Sus scrofa: one gene and its partner. The protein of the gene in region 1 interacts with the protein of each later gene in a biochemical or structural test. Links are inferred from orthologs where the notes say so. Each region holds a gene or a part of one and is shown in the gene's direction. Other genes may lie near its edges.

Evidence for each region.
Region 2: the proteins of NID1 (region 1) and FBLN1 form a complex in vitro, tested with the Homo sapiens proteins (3 studies listed by BioGRID). The link is inferred for Sus scrofa from reciprocal best matches to the Homo sapiens genes NID1 and FBLN1.

Annotation. Positions count from the first base shown.
Region 1 is NC_010456.5:55,338,155-55,345,780, forward strand, and holds part of NID1 (nidogen-1), read left to right. Parts: intron 1-1,693; coding exon 1,694-1,865; intron 1,866-3,420; coding exon 3,421-3,578; intron 3,579-4,745; coding exon 4,746-4,869; intron 4,870-5,476; coding exon 5,477-5,589; intron 5,590-6,835; coding exon 6,836-6,957; 3' UTR 6,958-7,626. UniProt on the Homo sapiens protein: Sulfated glycoprotein widely distributed in basement membranes and tightly associated with laminin. Also binds to collagen IV and perlecan. It probably has a role in cell-extracellular matrix interactions.
Region 2 is NC_010447.5:3,879,640-3,887,265, reverse strand, and holds part of FBLN1 (fibulin-1), read left to right. Parts: intron 1-378; coding exon 379-504; intron 505-2,888; coding exon 2,889-3,008; intron 3,009-4,311; coding exon 4,312-4,443; intron 4,444-6,079; coding exon 6,080-6,203; intron 6,204-7,626. UniProt on the Homo sapiens protein: Incorporated into fibronectin-containing matrix fibers. May play a role in cell adhesion and migration along protein fibers within the extracellular matrix (ECM).

The DNA of each region.
Region 1 (7,626 bases):
TCTTGTCCAGGATCTTGCCTGACAAAGCCCTGGTGTTCCTTCGGGAGCCAGCTTTAGGAGGTGTGACCTCTCACAGGAATCCTTCCGGAGTCTCCCCAGGCTGAGTTCAGTGTGCCTGCTCCATGTTCGCATGGAACCCAGAACTCAATCTGAGTTGCGATTGACTGTGGGCTCTTTGAAGGTGAGGCCACAGCCTCAGCATCCTTATGGGCCTGGTTTCCAAGGTGGCACACAGGGTGGATGTCCATCAAGTGAACAGGTGGCATTTTATTATTATTATTATTTTTTTTTAAATAAATAAGTCACTTTATTCGTCAATTCTTTTTTTTTTTTTTTTTTATTATTTTCCCACTGTACAGCAAGGGGTCAGGTCATCCTTAGATGTATACATTGCAGTTACAGTTTTTTCCCCACCTTTCTTCTGTTGCAACATGAGTATCTAGACATAGTTCTCAATGCTATTCAGCAGGATCTCCTTATAAATCTATTCTAGGTTGTGTCTGATAAGCCCAAGCTCCCGATCCCTCCCACTCCCTCCCCCTCCCATCAGGCAACCACAAGTCTCTTCTCCAAGTCCATGATTTTCTTTTCTGAGGAGATGTTCATTTGTGCTGGATATTAGATTCCAGTTATAAGTGATATCATATGGCATTTGTCTTTGTCTTTCTGGCTCATTTCACTCAGTATGAGATTCTCTAGTTCCATCCATGTTGCTGCAAATGGCATGATGTCATCCTTTTTTATGGCTGAGTAGTATTCCATTGTGTATATATACCACATCTTCCGAATCCAATCATCTGTCGATGGACATTTGGATTGTTTCCATGTCCTGGCTATTGTGAATAGTGCTGCAATGAACATGCGGGTGCATGTGTCTCTTTAAGTAGAGCTTTGTCCGGATAGATGCCCAAGAGTGGGATTGCGGGGTCATATGGAAGTTCTATGTATAGATTTCTAAGGTATCTCCAAACTGTTCTCCATAGTGGCTGTACCAGTTGACATTCCCACCAGCAGTGTAGGAGGGTTCCCTTTTCTCCACAGCCCCTCCAGCACTTGTTATTTGTGGATTTATTAATGATGGCCATTCTGACTGGTGTGAGGTGGTATCTCATGGTAGTTTTGATTTGCATTCTCTTATAATCAGCGATGTTGAGCATTTTTTCATGTGTTTGTTGGCCATCTGTATATCTTCCTTGGAGAAATGTCTATTCAGGTCTTTTGCCCATTTTTCCATTGATTGATTGGCTTTTTTGCTGTTGAGTTGTATAAGTTGCTTGTATATTCTAGAGATTAAGCCCTTGTCAGTTGCATCATTTGAAACTATTTTCTCCCATTCTGTAAGTTGTCTTCTTGTTTCTTTTTGGTTTCCTTTGCTGTGCAAAAGCTTTTCAGTTTGATGAGGTCCATGGTTTATTTTTGCTCTATTTCTATTGCTTTGGAGACTGACCTGAGAAAATATTCATGATGTTGATGTCAGAGAGTGTTTTGCCTATGTTTTCTTCTAGGAGTTTGATGGTGTCAACAGGTGGCATTTTAAAATGTGTCACTGGGTGTTACTTAGAAACAACACTCCCACATCTCAAAGTGCAAGGATTGGATGCCAGGTGAACTAGCACTGAGTAATCAGAAAAACCTAATCTTACTTGCTAAAAAAAATAAAATAATATCAGTGGTGTTCCACATTTGCTTCTAGATCTTGGAAGCCCAGAAGGTATTGCTCTTGACCATCTTGGCCGCAACATCTTCTGGACGGATTCTCACCTGGATCGAATAGAAGTTGCCAAGCTGGATGGCACCCAGCGCCGGGTGCTGTTTGATACTGATTTGGTGAATCCCAGAGGCATCGTAACGGATTCCGTGCGAGGGTAACTGTGTCAGTCAGTGTGTGCGTCTCTTCTATCTGCATCTTCTGCCCTTTGGGATAGTCACCCATGTTAGCTGTAACTGCAGCACTGCTCCCCTGAAACGAGTGAGTTTAGGATGAAGGAGCCTAGCTGGCGGTGTGCAGACATCCATGGTGAAACACCAGAACACCCGTGGCTATCCCCTGTGGTCATGGACTTGCTTCATGGGTTCCACTTTCAAATCTTTTTTTTTTTTTTTGGTCTTTTTAGGGCGACACCTGCAGCATATGGAGGTTCCCAGGCCTGGGGGTCGAATCAGAGCTATAGCTGCTGGCCCACACCACAGCCACAGCAACGCAGGGTCTGAGCCGCATCTGCGACCTACACGACTCACAGCCATGCCAGATCCTTAACCCACTGAGTGAGGCCAGGGATCGAACCCACGACCTCATGGATACTAATCAGGTTCCTTAACTCCTGAGCCACAATGGGAACTCCTACTTTCAAATCTTTTACCAAGAGACTTTGCAAGTTGACAGTCCAGCAATCGGATCTTTCCATTGAGGTTGAGTGTGGATCACCACCTGGGTTGGGTCAGCCCCAGAAGGGTAAACAGGTGGCATAAAAATAGCCCTGGGGCTTCTTCCTGAGGGCAAACTCAGCAGGAACGCCTTGGAGGCTCTTCCTGGGGCTTTGTCAGCACGTCAGCATTTTCTCCCCCTTTCCCTTACTGCACGCTCCACAGCTTATGCAGACCCAGGGCTTCGATTCCTTCCCGTTGAAAGCACATCCTTTGTTCTGTGGCCACTGGGCCATCTCCCTCCTAGCAGGTGCCTTGACCACCACCTCTGCAGCACTGCTTCTGTGCTTCCTCCGCTGGGTCAACTGTGCCTTCCTGTGTGGTGCCAGCATGTGGGAATTCCTGTGTGTTTAGGTCAGTTATGGGGCTCTGTTTTTTTCTTTTCTTTTTATTTTTTTGACTGTGCCTATGGTATGTGGAAGGCCCGAGGCCAGAGATCAAACCTGTGCCACAGCAGTGACCCAAGTCACCGCAGTGACAATGCTGGATCCTTGACCTGCTGTGCCACAAAAGAATTCCCTGTTTGTTTTTTTTTAACAGCTTTATTGAGATATCATATGTCACTTTTGTTTAAGGAAAGTGAAAGCTTTCAAGTGAAGAAGAACCAAATCCATGTGTCTTTACAAAGCAAACTGTGTCTCGGCCCCTCCAGATCCTTTGTAGACATTCAGTGTTTCTTTTATTTTTTCTTTTTGGGCTGCCCCATGGCATATTGGAGTTCCCCAGCCAAGGATCAAATCTGAGCCCACCTGCAGCAACACAGGATCCTTTAGCCCACTGTGCCGGGCCAGGGATCAAACTTGTGTCCCGGTGCTGCAGAGATGCTGCTGCAGAGATGCTGCTGATTCCATTGTGCCGCAGTGGGAACTCCCATTCTGTGTTTCAGTGTCTGCTGATGTCTTCATTGTAGGTTCTTCCTAAGTGTTCGGTAAGTGAACTTTTTCTCATGCATCTTCACGGTTTCTCTTCCTCTTTCTCCTCCTTTTTCTCCTCCAGGAACCTTTATTGGACAGATTGGAACAGAGACAGCCCCAAAATTGAAACTTCCTACATGGATGGCACAAACCGGAGGGTCCTTGTGCAGGATGACCTGGGCTTGCCCAACGGGCTGACCTTTGATGCCTACTCCTCACAGCTCTGCTGGGTTGACGCAGGTGATGGAAAGCCCGGGGCCTGGCTCCTGGGCTTGAAACTGTGTCACTACAGTTTCTTTTTTACCAAACAACTGTTGTCACCCCCTGTACCATCAAGAATATCTCTTATGGGAAGGAGAGTATAAGATAACTGTTTTTTTTTTTTCCCTCTGCACAAAAATAGCTGCATATCTGTGCTCTGAAATCAATTGTTTCTCTAGGCTTGATGCAGTCCAGGGAAAGCTCTCAATCTTCCAGTTTGCTGGCCCATGGGCTCAATCCAACCTGCCACCTGTTTTGTTACAACCCCAGGAACTATAAAGGGCTTTTACATTTTTAAATGTGGCATTTTAAAAGGTTATAGAAATGCTTGTATAGTGTCCTCAATTTTGCCTCTTGGCCCACAAAACCTAAAATAGTTACTATCTGGCCCTTTAAGAAAATATTGGCCCCTCCCCCAGCCCAGTGCCTGTCTTTATCCTGGTACCTATTCAGCAGTTCACCACTTACGTTCTTGGACCTCCACCCCTGTTCGTCCCCAGCAGCTTAGGCAGGACTTGGGGCCAAGGAAGAGAAAGTAGTGCACCCCTGCCTGGGCCGACTTGGGGTGTCGCTCAGGTGAGGGACATGGGCTGGGGAGGAACATCCGTCACACACCAAGTCTCTGCTAGGTCTCTGCTTTGTTCCAGGCACCATCAGGTGCCCTGGGGGATGCAGCAGGGAAAGCATGCCCAGTTGGATAAAACCCCGAGCCTTCTGTTGGTCATGGCGCAGGCACAGCTGCCAACCAGTGGGGCAGTTTAGCAGTTTCAAGGACTGGGGATGCAGGGAGGGGACATCTGAAGAGGCTCCAGGGAGGAGAGGCTGGAGCAGAAGCTGGAAGATGGCATCTTTTCCTACCAAGACGCCAGCTGCCCGGGGCACGGGTACAACGGGTGCAGTTCCTCTGCTCCGGCTCCATCTCCCCATCAGAACCAGGTGTGGGTGCCGGGTGAGGGTGGGGTCAACCAGTGAGAGGACCCACGAAGGACGAACTGCCAGCTCTCCAGTTCAGAAGGGCAGGTCCTGTGTTCGGGAGGATCTGAGCTTGTAAGGCCCTCTCACCCTTGCCCTCGTTACTCTGGTTGTTTGACACAAAGAGGCCATTTCTTGTCGGAACAATGGACGGCTTGTTTTCGCCCCACACAGGCACCAGTCGGGCCGAGTGCCTGAAGCCGGGTCAGCCCAGCAGACGCAAGGTTCTCGAAGGCCTCCAGTACCCTTTCGCTGTCACCAGCTATGGGAAGAATCTGTATTACACCGACTGGAAGATGTATGTCAGCTGCTGCGGCGTGGGGGCCGGGGCCCTGCCCTGTCGCCCTCCCTGGAGGCCAAGTTCTTCCCCAAGGGGCCCTTTGACTTGAATTCCTGCCTCCAGAGATGCCTCTGCCCTGCCCTCTGGGGGTCAGAGAGAAGGGCGAGGAGGGGGCCAGCAGGGCCCCTGGTACCATGTATCATCTGGACGCTCTTAGACGGGCAGCATCAAGCCTGCAAACCTGGACCTCCTCAGTGTGCCTGTTCTTCCCCGAGAACCCCCCTTAGCCAGGGGGCTCCATGCCCCTTCTTAGTTATAATTCTAAAATTGCAAAATTCCTAGAGCCCCTTAAGGACAGCTCTTCCTACAGGAAGTTGGGGTGAAACCAAGCAAGCAGCTGTGGCAGGCACATCTGTATAGAAAGCTGGAATTTAGAGCCATGGGCCTCTGTATAAGAAGCCAGGCTTGCCTCGTCCCAGGAAGAGGGAGGGAGGGCCAGGAGCGAGGCCAGTGTCTCTACTTACGGCCTCCAGTTTATCCCCCCAACTCCAAAAGAGGCTGCCCTGGAGAGAAAAGTTCACACCATTAGATGTGTTTTGACCTTCTCTCCTTTGGTGCCCTGTAGGAATTCCGTGGTTGCCATAGATCTTGCTGTTTCCAAAGAGACGGATACCTTCCACCCCCACAAGCAGGCCCGGCTGTATGGCATCACGACTGCCCTGTCTCAGTGTCCTGAAGGTAACTTACCTGTAACACACCTGTGCACTGGCTGGTGAGGGACCAGGGGTGTGCTGGGACTTGTGTGGCTTCTGGAAGCCCTGATCCCATGGTGAGTGAGACGCAGTCTCTTCCATCAAGAGTAGTCATGGCGGAGTTCCCGTCCTGGCTCAGCGGTTAATGAACCCGACCGGCATCTCTGAGGACACAGGTTCAATCCCTGGTCTCTCTCAGTGGGTTAAGGATTGAGCATTGCCATGAGCTATGGTATAGGTCGCAGACGCGGCTTGGATCCTGCATTGCTGTGGCTCTGATGTAGTCTGGCGGCTACAGCTCCAATTGCACCCCTAGCCTGGGAACCTCCATATGCCATGGGTGTGGCCCTAAAAAAGACAAAAAGACAAAAAAGAAAGAAAAAAGTCTTCATGGAGCACCCCGGTGGCACAGCAGGTAAAGGACCCCGTGGTGTTGCTGCTGTGGTGTGGGTTCAATCCCTGGCCTGGGAACTTCCACATGCTGTGGGCATGACCAAAAAAAAAAAAAGTTTTCATTATTTAGTAGATGAATCAATAGAAAACATTAGGGAAAAAGGTGAATAACGGTCAAGGCTGAGAAAAGTATTGACTCTTGGGTTGGGTCTCAGAATAGGCTCCAAGGAGAAACAGGGTTAGGATCTCTGCTGCTTTACAAGTCCATCCATTTAGCCTGGCAGCAACAACAGTAATTTGTAACAATAATAACTGCAGGCACAGGTGTGATGCTTGCTGTGAGCTGGGTACATCAAGTACATCAAGTCACTGAGTGTACTAAGTGCTCTGTATTCACTGCTAGGCACTATTATTGTGCCCTCTTTATAAATAAGGAAATGGAAGCCACCTGCCCAGGTCACGGTAGGAGAACTGGGGTGAATGAGGCAGCCTGGCTCCAGAGTCAATGCTCTGCTATCTCCCAAGCTCTCTTTCCAACCTTCTTTTCTTCTCTCTGGTCCCCCAGGCAAGTGGCCAAGCTAGAGAGAGTACTTGGTGCCTTAAAACTCCAGTTCCATGTTCTCAGCAGAGCTGGAAAAACCTTTTGGAGCTTTGATGGTACATCAGCATAGCCCCCAGGTCAGGAATCAGGGATCCAGGTTTTTGCGCATCCGACAAACTCTAATGATGAGGAAGCAGCCAGTAGATAAGCTGAGCTGGGTGCCCAGTATGCCCTCCCGTTCCCTGGGGGCCACTCTCTTAGCTGATTGAGCTGTCGAGCTCACTTCTGCCTTTTCCAGGTCACAACTACTGCTCAGTGAACAATGGTGGCTGCACCCACCTCTGCTTGGCCACCCCAGGAAGCAGGACCTGCCGTTGCCCTGACAACACCCTGGGCGTTGACTGTATCGAGCAGAAATGAAGACAAGTATTTCACAGCAACACCCTACTTGAAAGGGTCCAGAATGAAGACTATCTGACTTTGTGGCTGTGTGGCCCTCAGACCCAGGTCCAACCTCAGCCTGAACCTCAGCAGCACTGCCCTCACAGATCCCCACAACATAGGCCCTGGGCTTCTGGAATGGGAAAGCCTCTACCCCTACAGAAAGACAGAAATCCTCCCTGACCCCAACCCTCAGACTTATATAGCCCTGAGTGAGGATCGTGTGCCCCATCCTGGTACCCTGGACCCTTTCTTCAACCTTAACATCCCGGTGATGAGCAGAACCTGCCCTGTGGCCTTATGAGCTCAGCCTCACTTGGAGACACCCATCATCCCATCAGGGGCTGGATACCAGCTAGGATTGTCCAGGCAAGGCTGTGAGCAGAGGAGGGAGTTAGCCCTCCCATGTTTTTTCTCTTGGTGCTCTGATTTCCCTCTTTAAACTCTTAGCTTTTTACCCCTGAGTCTGTACCCCCTGCATCCTGCCCAATGCCCACATACTAGTGAGAAGGCCCTGCCTTTTGATCAGAACCCACCCTGTCCAAGGGATATGTGGGTATTTGGTGGATGATACTGAGCAGCCCCTCCCAGGTAAGTTATTGGCATTTCAGCAGTAGGCTTTTGTAGTCAAAGGCTTAAATCAAAGGA
Region 2 (7,626 bases), on another chromosome or scaffold:
CCGGAGCTCACCCAGGGCAGAGAGAACCCAGGATGGCACAGTGGCCAGAACAAATCCTATCCCCAAACCGGGGTGCTCAGGGGAGGCTGGCACTTGCCCCGCCCACCCCCATGGCACCTTTGTCAGATTCCTCCTTTGGGCTCTGGGGTGAAGGACTGGCAGGTGGGCATGTGCCCAGACATGCCATCGTGGAGGGGGCACGAGGCTTGCCCAGTGGGCAAACAGGCCGGGTGTGGTCCCGGCTCCCCTGCCGACTCGTCCTGTGTTTGGGACAAGTCACAGTGCCTTTCTCTGGGAGGAGACCGGGGGAAGTGGGGGACAAGGGTTGAGGGCTGCCCAGGGAGGACGCTGCCCAAGCCGCCTGCCTGCTCTTTTCAGACATCAACGAGTGCCGGCGCTACCCGGGGCGCCTGTGTGGCCACAAGTGCGAGAACACACCGGGCTCTTACTACTGCAGCTGCACCATAGGCTTCCGGCTCTCCTCTGACGGCCGCTCCTGTGAAGGTGGGGGACAGGGGGTGCCCCGAGACCTCATCCTTCCCCAAGCTGCAGCCTCCTGGGGAAACTCACCACTCTGCCCGTCTGCAGACCCGTTTGGGACTGCGTCACACCTGTGCCCCAGCACATATGAAAGGACGTGTTAGCAGAGAAAATGCCTCTAAAAATGTACCTGTCAGAGACGACAGCTCACCTCGATTTTCCCTGGGCCTTGGCCCAGCTGATAACATCTGCTGCACACATGGGGGTGGGCGACTTGGCTGCAGAAGCTGCGTGGATGTGGCGGGGAGGCTGGGGCTTGGGGGCATCCAACCCGCCACCGACATGCCCTTGGGGCCTGGCTGCCCTCACCTGCCTCAGCATCCTCACAGGGCACATGGGTGGTTGTGACAAAGAGAAACAAAAGCGGTACACTTGTTTAAAGTGGTAAGACGGATTGGCTTTAGACTACTACAGCAGAGGAGAAAGACCTCAGCTCCACCGAAACAAAAAGCGCAGGCTTGTCACCTGCCCGAGTGCGTTAAGGATCAGTGCTGAAGGCTGTTAGGGGAGTGTTTGGTGCAGTCAGGCCAGCCGTCTGCTCACTGGCTCCGACCCTCCTGCCGCGTCTGGGGGTGGGGCCTCCCCTTCTTGATGATCGCATTTCAAAGGCTGGGTTCCCAGGTCCTTAGAAAGATGCTCCGGGGTTGCTAACGATACACCTCGAAGGGACAGAGAAAGGATATGTACTCGCAGGTTTGCTAAAGTACATGCTTCTGAGAAAAAAGGGAGTCAGGGCCTGTAGTCTGATGCGGGCCGGAACCCTCAGTAACTTCTCTGGCAGCGTTGAGCTTCCCCAGGCAGGGTCATGGTCTTGGGTGATGCTGAAGTTTGGTTGGGTCTCTGTGTTGGGGGGTGGGTTGGACCGAATTATTGGTGCCGAGAGTCTTGGGGTTCTCAGATAACACTGCCCCCTGTGGTGATGGACTGAGATAGGTGAACCGCGCAGGGCCTGGCACATGGTGGGTGCTCAGCAGACGTCACATCTTCTGCGGGCAGTAGGTGATGAGGTCAGTAGAAACGGAGCGCTTTGGACCACCCTTGGCAACTCCTCACGTGGCCCATCAAGCCCCCTTCTTGGCAGTGCAGTGCCCCGGGGGTGACCTGTGAGCCAGACTCAAGACACAGCAGCTCTTAAAATCCTGCATTAAGAGGGATGAGCACAAAAATCGGATGTGCCCGGATGCCCCCCAGACTGTAGCTCTCGGCCTGGAGGATGGACAGTGCGAGGGACTCCTGGGCGCTAGGCTTCCCCAGAGATGCTGGGATTTGTCCCCAGGAACCAGACCCAACATGCGTGGAAGGGCAGGAAACAAGATTCAGGCCTGGGGGTCCCTTGGGCCTGGCTTCAAATCCCACCTCTGTCATTCTTAGGGCCTTGAAGAAGTAGCTTAGTGTCTCTGGGCCTCAGTGTCCTCATCTGTGAAATGGGGATCGTAGGGCCCACCCCGTGGGGGTCGTGAGTATGAACCCAGGGGACGCCTGTGACGTATTGTCTGTCACAGTGCCCAGGACGAGTCAGAGTGCTCCCGTACGGAGGCTGCTGGCATTATTGTTATTATATTGGTGACCTGTGCTGTCCCTGGTTGCCCCTAAACCACTGATTAACACAGATATTGTCTAGTTCATACTGTGGACATAAAACCAGGGCCTGGCCAGCCTTGCCAGATTATTCCACTGCCTCCTGCCCAGGTTCCTGCCTTCAGGGAGTGTCTCTGGGATGTGAGAAGCCACATGGGGCGGAGGTGAGCATGTGAATAGGGGATCAGGTGGCAGCCAAGTGTGTGGGGGGACTCAGGGCTGAGACAGGGGGTGCGAGGCTAGTGGAGAGTCTTGGCTGCTCAGAATTAGGAGAAAACAGATGTGAGAAGACACTCCTGGGCCAGAGATGGACAGGCTTTTTTCCTGAAAGCCACACAGGACATCTTTCAGGCTTTGCTGGCCACCTCTGGGTTGCGACAGCTCCACCGTGCTGTTGTGAGGCCCAAGCCACCACAGACCCTGGTGAACGAATGGCCGTGGCCGGGTGCCAATAAAACTTTATTTGCAAACTCAAGTGGGGGGCCGGAAGTTGGCCAATCCCTGCTGAGTGAGCAGAGGAGCCAGATCCCAGAGGAGCCAGAGCCCAGAGACCGTGTGGCTTGAAGCAGGTGGGGGTGGGGAGATGCCCAATCCCCCAGCCGTGAGGTCTCTCTCCCTTGGGGTCTGTCTCTCTTGCGGTGACCCTGGGCAGATGTCTGATCCCTGAACTTGGAAGGCTTTGCCTCTGCCTATGTGTTAACGCGAGGGAGGTCACAGGCCGGCCAGGGATGGGTGACGCAGCTCCGAGCGGGGAACCTTCTCTCTTTCAGACGTGAATGAGTGTCACAGCAGCCCCTGCAGCCAGGAGTGCGCCAATGTCTACGGCTCCTACCAGTGTTACTGCCGGCGAGGCTACCAGCTCAGCGACGTGGACGGGACCACGTGCGAAGGTGAGGGCTTCCGGCTGGGCGGAGGCCGGAGCACCTCCGCCTCTGTCCCTGTCCCCGCCCCCCCCTTCTGCCTGGCGGGTGGTTTGGTTTTACTCCCCCGAGATTTCGTAGGATGCCCTCTACCCATCATGGAGTAAGGCTTGCAAAGGAGCAAACCCTCTCCTTGGATTTTTCTGTAGTGAAATAAAACGTCCCGGCGGTGTTTGCCGTGTGTGGGGAGACCTTGAGTGGGGCTTGGCGCGGGCAGGTGATGCCGGAGTGAGGAGGGGCCTCAGGGCCCACCCACGTTGCTGATTCCCAGCTCTGCCTTGGGCCCGTTTTCCTTTTTTGGGCCGCACCTGCAGCATATGGAAGTTCCCAGGCTAGAGGTTGAATCGGAGCTGCAGCCTGCTGGTCTACACCACAGCCACAGCCACACCAGATCCAAGCTGCATGGGCCACCTACACCGAAGCTTGCAGCAGTGCTGGATCCTTAACTACTGAACGAGGCCAGGGATTGAACCTGCATCCTCATGGATACTAGTCAGGTTCTTAACTCACTGAGCTGCAGCTGGAACTCCTTGCCTTGGGCCTTTTAAAAGCCCCTCTCTGGGCCTGGGCCGTCTCTGCTATGACATGCGGGTTAAGCCCACAGTTGCAGCTTCTTGGAGGAGGAAACCAAATCATGGCTTAAGAGCGCTTCCTAGGGTGCCTGAAGGGGAACTTTTTTTTTGTTTTTTATTTTTTTTTTGTCTTTTTAGGGCTGCACCTGTGGCATATGGAGGTTTCCAGGCTAGGGATCGAATTGGAGCTACAGCTCCCAGCCTACACCACAGCTCACGGCAACACGGGAGTCTTAACCTACTGAGCGAGGCCAGGGATTGAACCCGCATCCTCATGGTTCCTAGTCCGATCTATTAACCACTGAGCCACTACGGGAACTCCTAGGCAACTGTTGTTAAGATGATTCCTACGTCTGCATAAGGTGCGTGTGTTAATGACACATTTAACAAGTGGCACTAGGGCTTGGCTGGCAAAACATTTCCCCATGTAGTCACCCTGAAGCCTTGGCTCCTCCCCCACAAACACGCTTCACGCCATGAACTTGCTGTGTGGCTCCAGGCTAGGTGCATCCCCTCTCTGGGTCTCAGTTTTCCCTTCTCACGTGATGGCCTCTGAGGCCGCCCCAGCCCCAGCGCTTCAAGGCCCCCTGGGTCCAGCTTGGCCTGGGCAGCTGCCCCCCAGGCCGCAGCTCAGTCAGCCCACGGGGGTGGAGCCCGGCCAGGGTCCACACGGACACTAAGGGTGGGCTTTGCTGTCACAGACATCGACGAGTGCGCCCTGCCCACCGGGGGCCACATCTGCTCCTACCGCTGCATCAACATCCCGGGAAGCTTCCAGTGCAGCTGCCCCTCGACCGGGTACAGGCTGGCCCCCAACGGCCGCAACTGCCAAGGTGAGCACGTGGAGCCCCTGGTCTCTCTCAGGCCGTCCTGGGGCTCTGCATTCGGGTAGGGAGCCTGGCTGTGTCCTGATCTCCTGCCCCCGGGCACACTTGTCCTCCGGGAGGGCTGAGCCCTCCTGCCCCAACCTGGGAAGCCCCAGGGGGGCCCAAAGGGGGGCTGGCAGCCTTTTGGAAGATGCCACTGTGAAGGAAACGGGCCGTCAATGCCAGGAAGACCCACAGCCTAGCACTGCCCTTTAGGCTCTCCTTCAGTCATTCAACAAACCCTTGCTTTGGGCCAGGTATTAAGGGCAAAGCAGTGAGCAGATGGTACGGGCCTCTGTCTCAAGGTCTTGGTCCGCACTTGGCAAGGGGATGGGCCAGTCAGGATGTGTGACAAGCCTGAGGTCTCTGTATTTAGGGACCTAATGGCTGTAGGGTCTGGCTGGGGCTTGAGAGTCGCCTCCAGCATTGCCAAAAGCGGGCAAGTGGCATCCGGCTGGTACTCGGCTCCCGTTTCTGAGGACACCCCGCACCTGAGGTGGTCCACTTGGTTCCGGAGGGGCTGCTGAGTACATGTTTGTGAATGAGCAGCCCTGGCATGGACACGCGGGCCTCCCTGCCGGGAGCGGCCACAGAGGCTGAATCAGAGGTCAGGTCTGTCCAGCCGCTTCCTGATGACCCCCTCTGCGGCTGGGGGCCCCGGGCTCTGCAGGTGTCATTCCTGGTCAGAAGGTTTGAGGACTTCGATCAAAGGCGGGGAGGGAGCTGCGGGCCTTCCTGGGAGGGACCTGCTCAGCCCGTCCAGGACTCTGGGTGGAAGTTGCTTTGTTTTCGCGTTTCTGAAAGAGCAGCTGACTTCCTGATCCTGGCCAGGCGCCCTCACCGCAGCCTGGGGTCCTGCCAGACGCGGCAAAAACACATTCCTGAGCCTCAGCCTTTGAGGTTGGGCAGGGCTGTTTTTGCCACCGACAATCAGGATTTGGCATCTCTTAACAGATGCCTCTGGCGCGGTGACATCCCCTGAACCCACCCTTTGGCTGCTCTGGACAGTTGTGGGAAGGGGGACGGCTCCCCATGGCCAAGGTCACCTTGTGACAGTCCCCCAGGCCCAGATAGTGACCAGCCCTGGACACTGGGTGTGACATAGGACCCGTTAAATCTCAGTCTCTTCGTCTGTAAAGCGGGGCTGGTAGCTTCTGCTCGTTCCTCCCGGGACGTTACAAGGGCACCTCTGAGCCTCAGAGAGGCGCTGGCTGCCTGGGTTCCGAGTTCACCTCTGCCACTTACAAAATATGTGACCTTGGGCCAGTCGCTTAACCTCTGTGTGCTCGTCCCTAAAACGAGGATAAGCACAGCCCTTGCCTCATCGACTTGTTGTGAGAATCAAGTGCGTTATTCCTGCAAAACCAGGGCCATCAGAGAGCGTTTGATGTCACCGTCATCACGCTCGCCCCGGGAACTGTGACTAACAGCCATTTAGATTTAAATCTAAGTCACTTATAAATGAAAGAGCAGCCAGCAGACGGCAAGGATGGGCTGACCTCCCCCGACCCTGGTTGGCGGGAGGTCCGGGCACCCCCAGCCGTGGACAGGGGTGGCCGGGGGGGCCTTGGCCTTCACGGTGCTGCTTCGGGGTCTCCCGCAGACATCGACGAGTGTGTGACCGGCATCCACAACTGCTCCATCAACGAGACCTGCTTCAACATCCAGGGCAGCTTCCGCTGCCTGGCCTTCGAGTGTCCTGAGAACTACCGCCGCTCCGCAGACACGTAAGTCCCTGGGCCCCGCGATCGTCTGTCTGGGTCGGCCTTGCCGGGGCCCGGCTCCCCGCCCGGGCCAGGAGTTAATGAGCTGTGCCCTCCCACGTGGCTCCTGGGAAACTCCAGGAGCCCTGGTTCTCAGGCCCCCACCTGCCAGTGAGACGGGTCCCAGGAAGCCAAGGTCGTGACCTCTCGCTCTGCCGGGGGAAACCTCGGGCCAGGGTCTGGGCCTCAGTTTCCGCATCTGTGAGCCGCAGGTGTCAGCGCGTGCTCTGGGTCGGGTGAAGGTGGCCATGACTGTGGGCGAGCTGCTGTGACTTGCTGGGGTGCCGTTGTAGATGAAACGGGGGGGGGGAAGCCAGATTCCATTCAGCCCAGTGACTGCGCGGACAGCTCGGGAGGTGCTGTGTCCTCAGCTTGTCACTGTGCGTCCACATGTCATTGTGAGCCTGCCCCTCTCAGGCCCCCGGGGTGTCTGCTGGGGTGTCCAGGAACCCCGTTCCTCAAGTGAGGACCCTCTGTCTTGCCACACACGACCCCACCTCTTATCGTATTAGTGCCCCTGGCAGGTGTTTCAGGAAAAGCCCTGCGGTGGGAGCCAATGTCAGGAGCACAGACATGTGTCCCAGGAAGTGCTCAAAGCCACCGCCAGGCTGCCTGGGTGACTCGCCTCCTGAGCCTGCTCCTGCTCCTCCCACCAGAGGGTCAGTGCCAGGCCCCGGCGTCCACTTGCTCACGTCCACAGTTCTGGCTGTCCTGGTGGATTGCCAGAGCGGGAGCCGCTCAGGGGCTTGCTGTCCTTCCCGACATTGGGGTGCTCATCTGCCCCCCCCCCGGTCCCCTCTGGTTCCCCAGCTGCCTTCTAGCTGGTTAGGGGAAGCTGCCCCAGAACTGGGCGTGCAAGGGCACAGCATTCCCAGGAGCCCGTGGGCCCAGCAGCAGCTTGGTGGGCAGGGCTGGTGCCCCCAGAGCCGTGAAGAGAGATCTGTGTCCTCCGTTTGAGGCTGTGTGGCTGTCTGTCCAGATTCCCACACTCCCAGGCCCTTGCCTGTGTCTGGGCTTGAGGTTTCCTGAAGATGGGCTGTTTGCTCTTGGCCTCTAACTCACACACAGCCACGAAAGCCACAGGGGAGGGGGTCCTCCCTCCTCCTAAGCCGGGGTGGGGGCTGGCAGGCTGGCGCTGAGGTTGAAGCCGAAATCGGCCGGATGCAAGTTGTGGAATCCTTGGCTGCACCCGCCCCACCTCGCCAGCCCCCGCTGGTGCCAGGGAAAGTCCTTTACTCATCTGGGGAGATGGTTCATCTCGAGCCCACTACGTGCGGGCATCCGGACAGACAGTGGGCCCGCAAAGACCCCCAACTCCTGCTCTGCACCCAGGAGGAGCGTAGGCAGGAACCACAGTGGCTGCAGAGTGCAGGGACGCTGAGAGGAG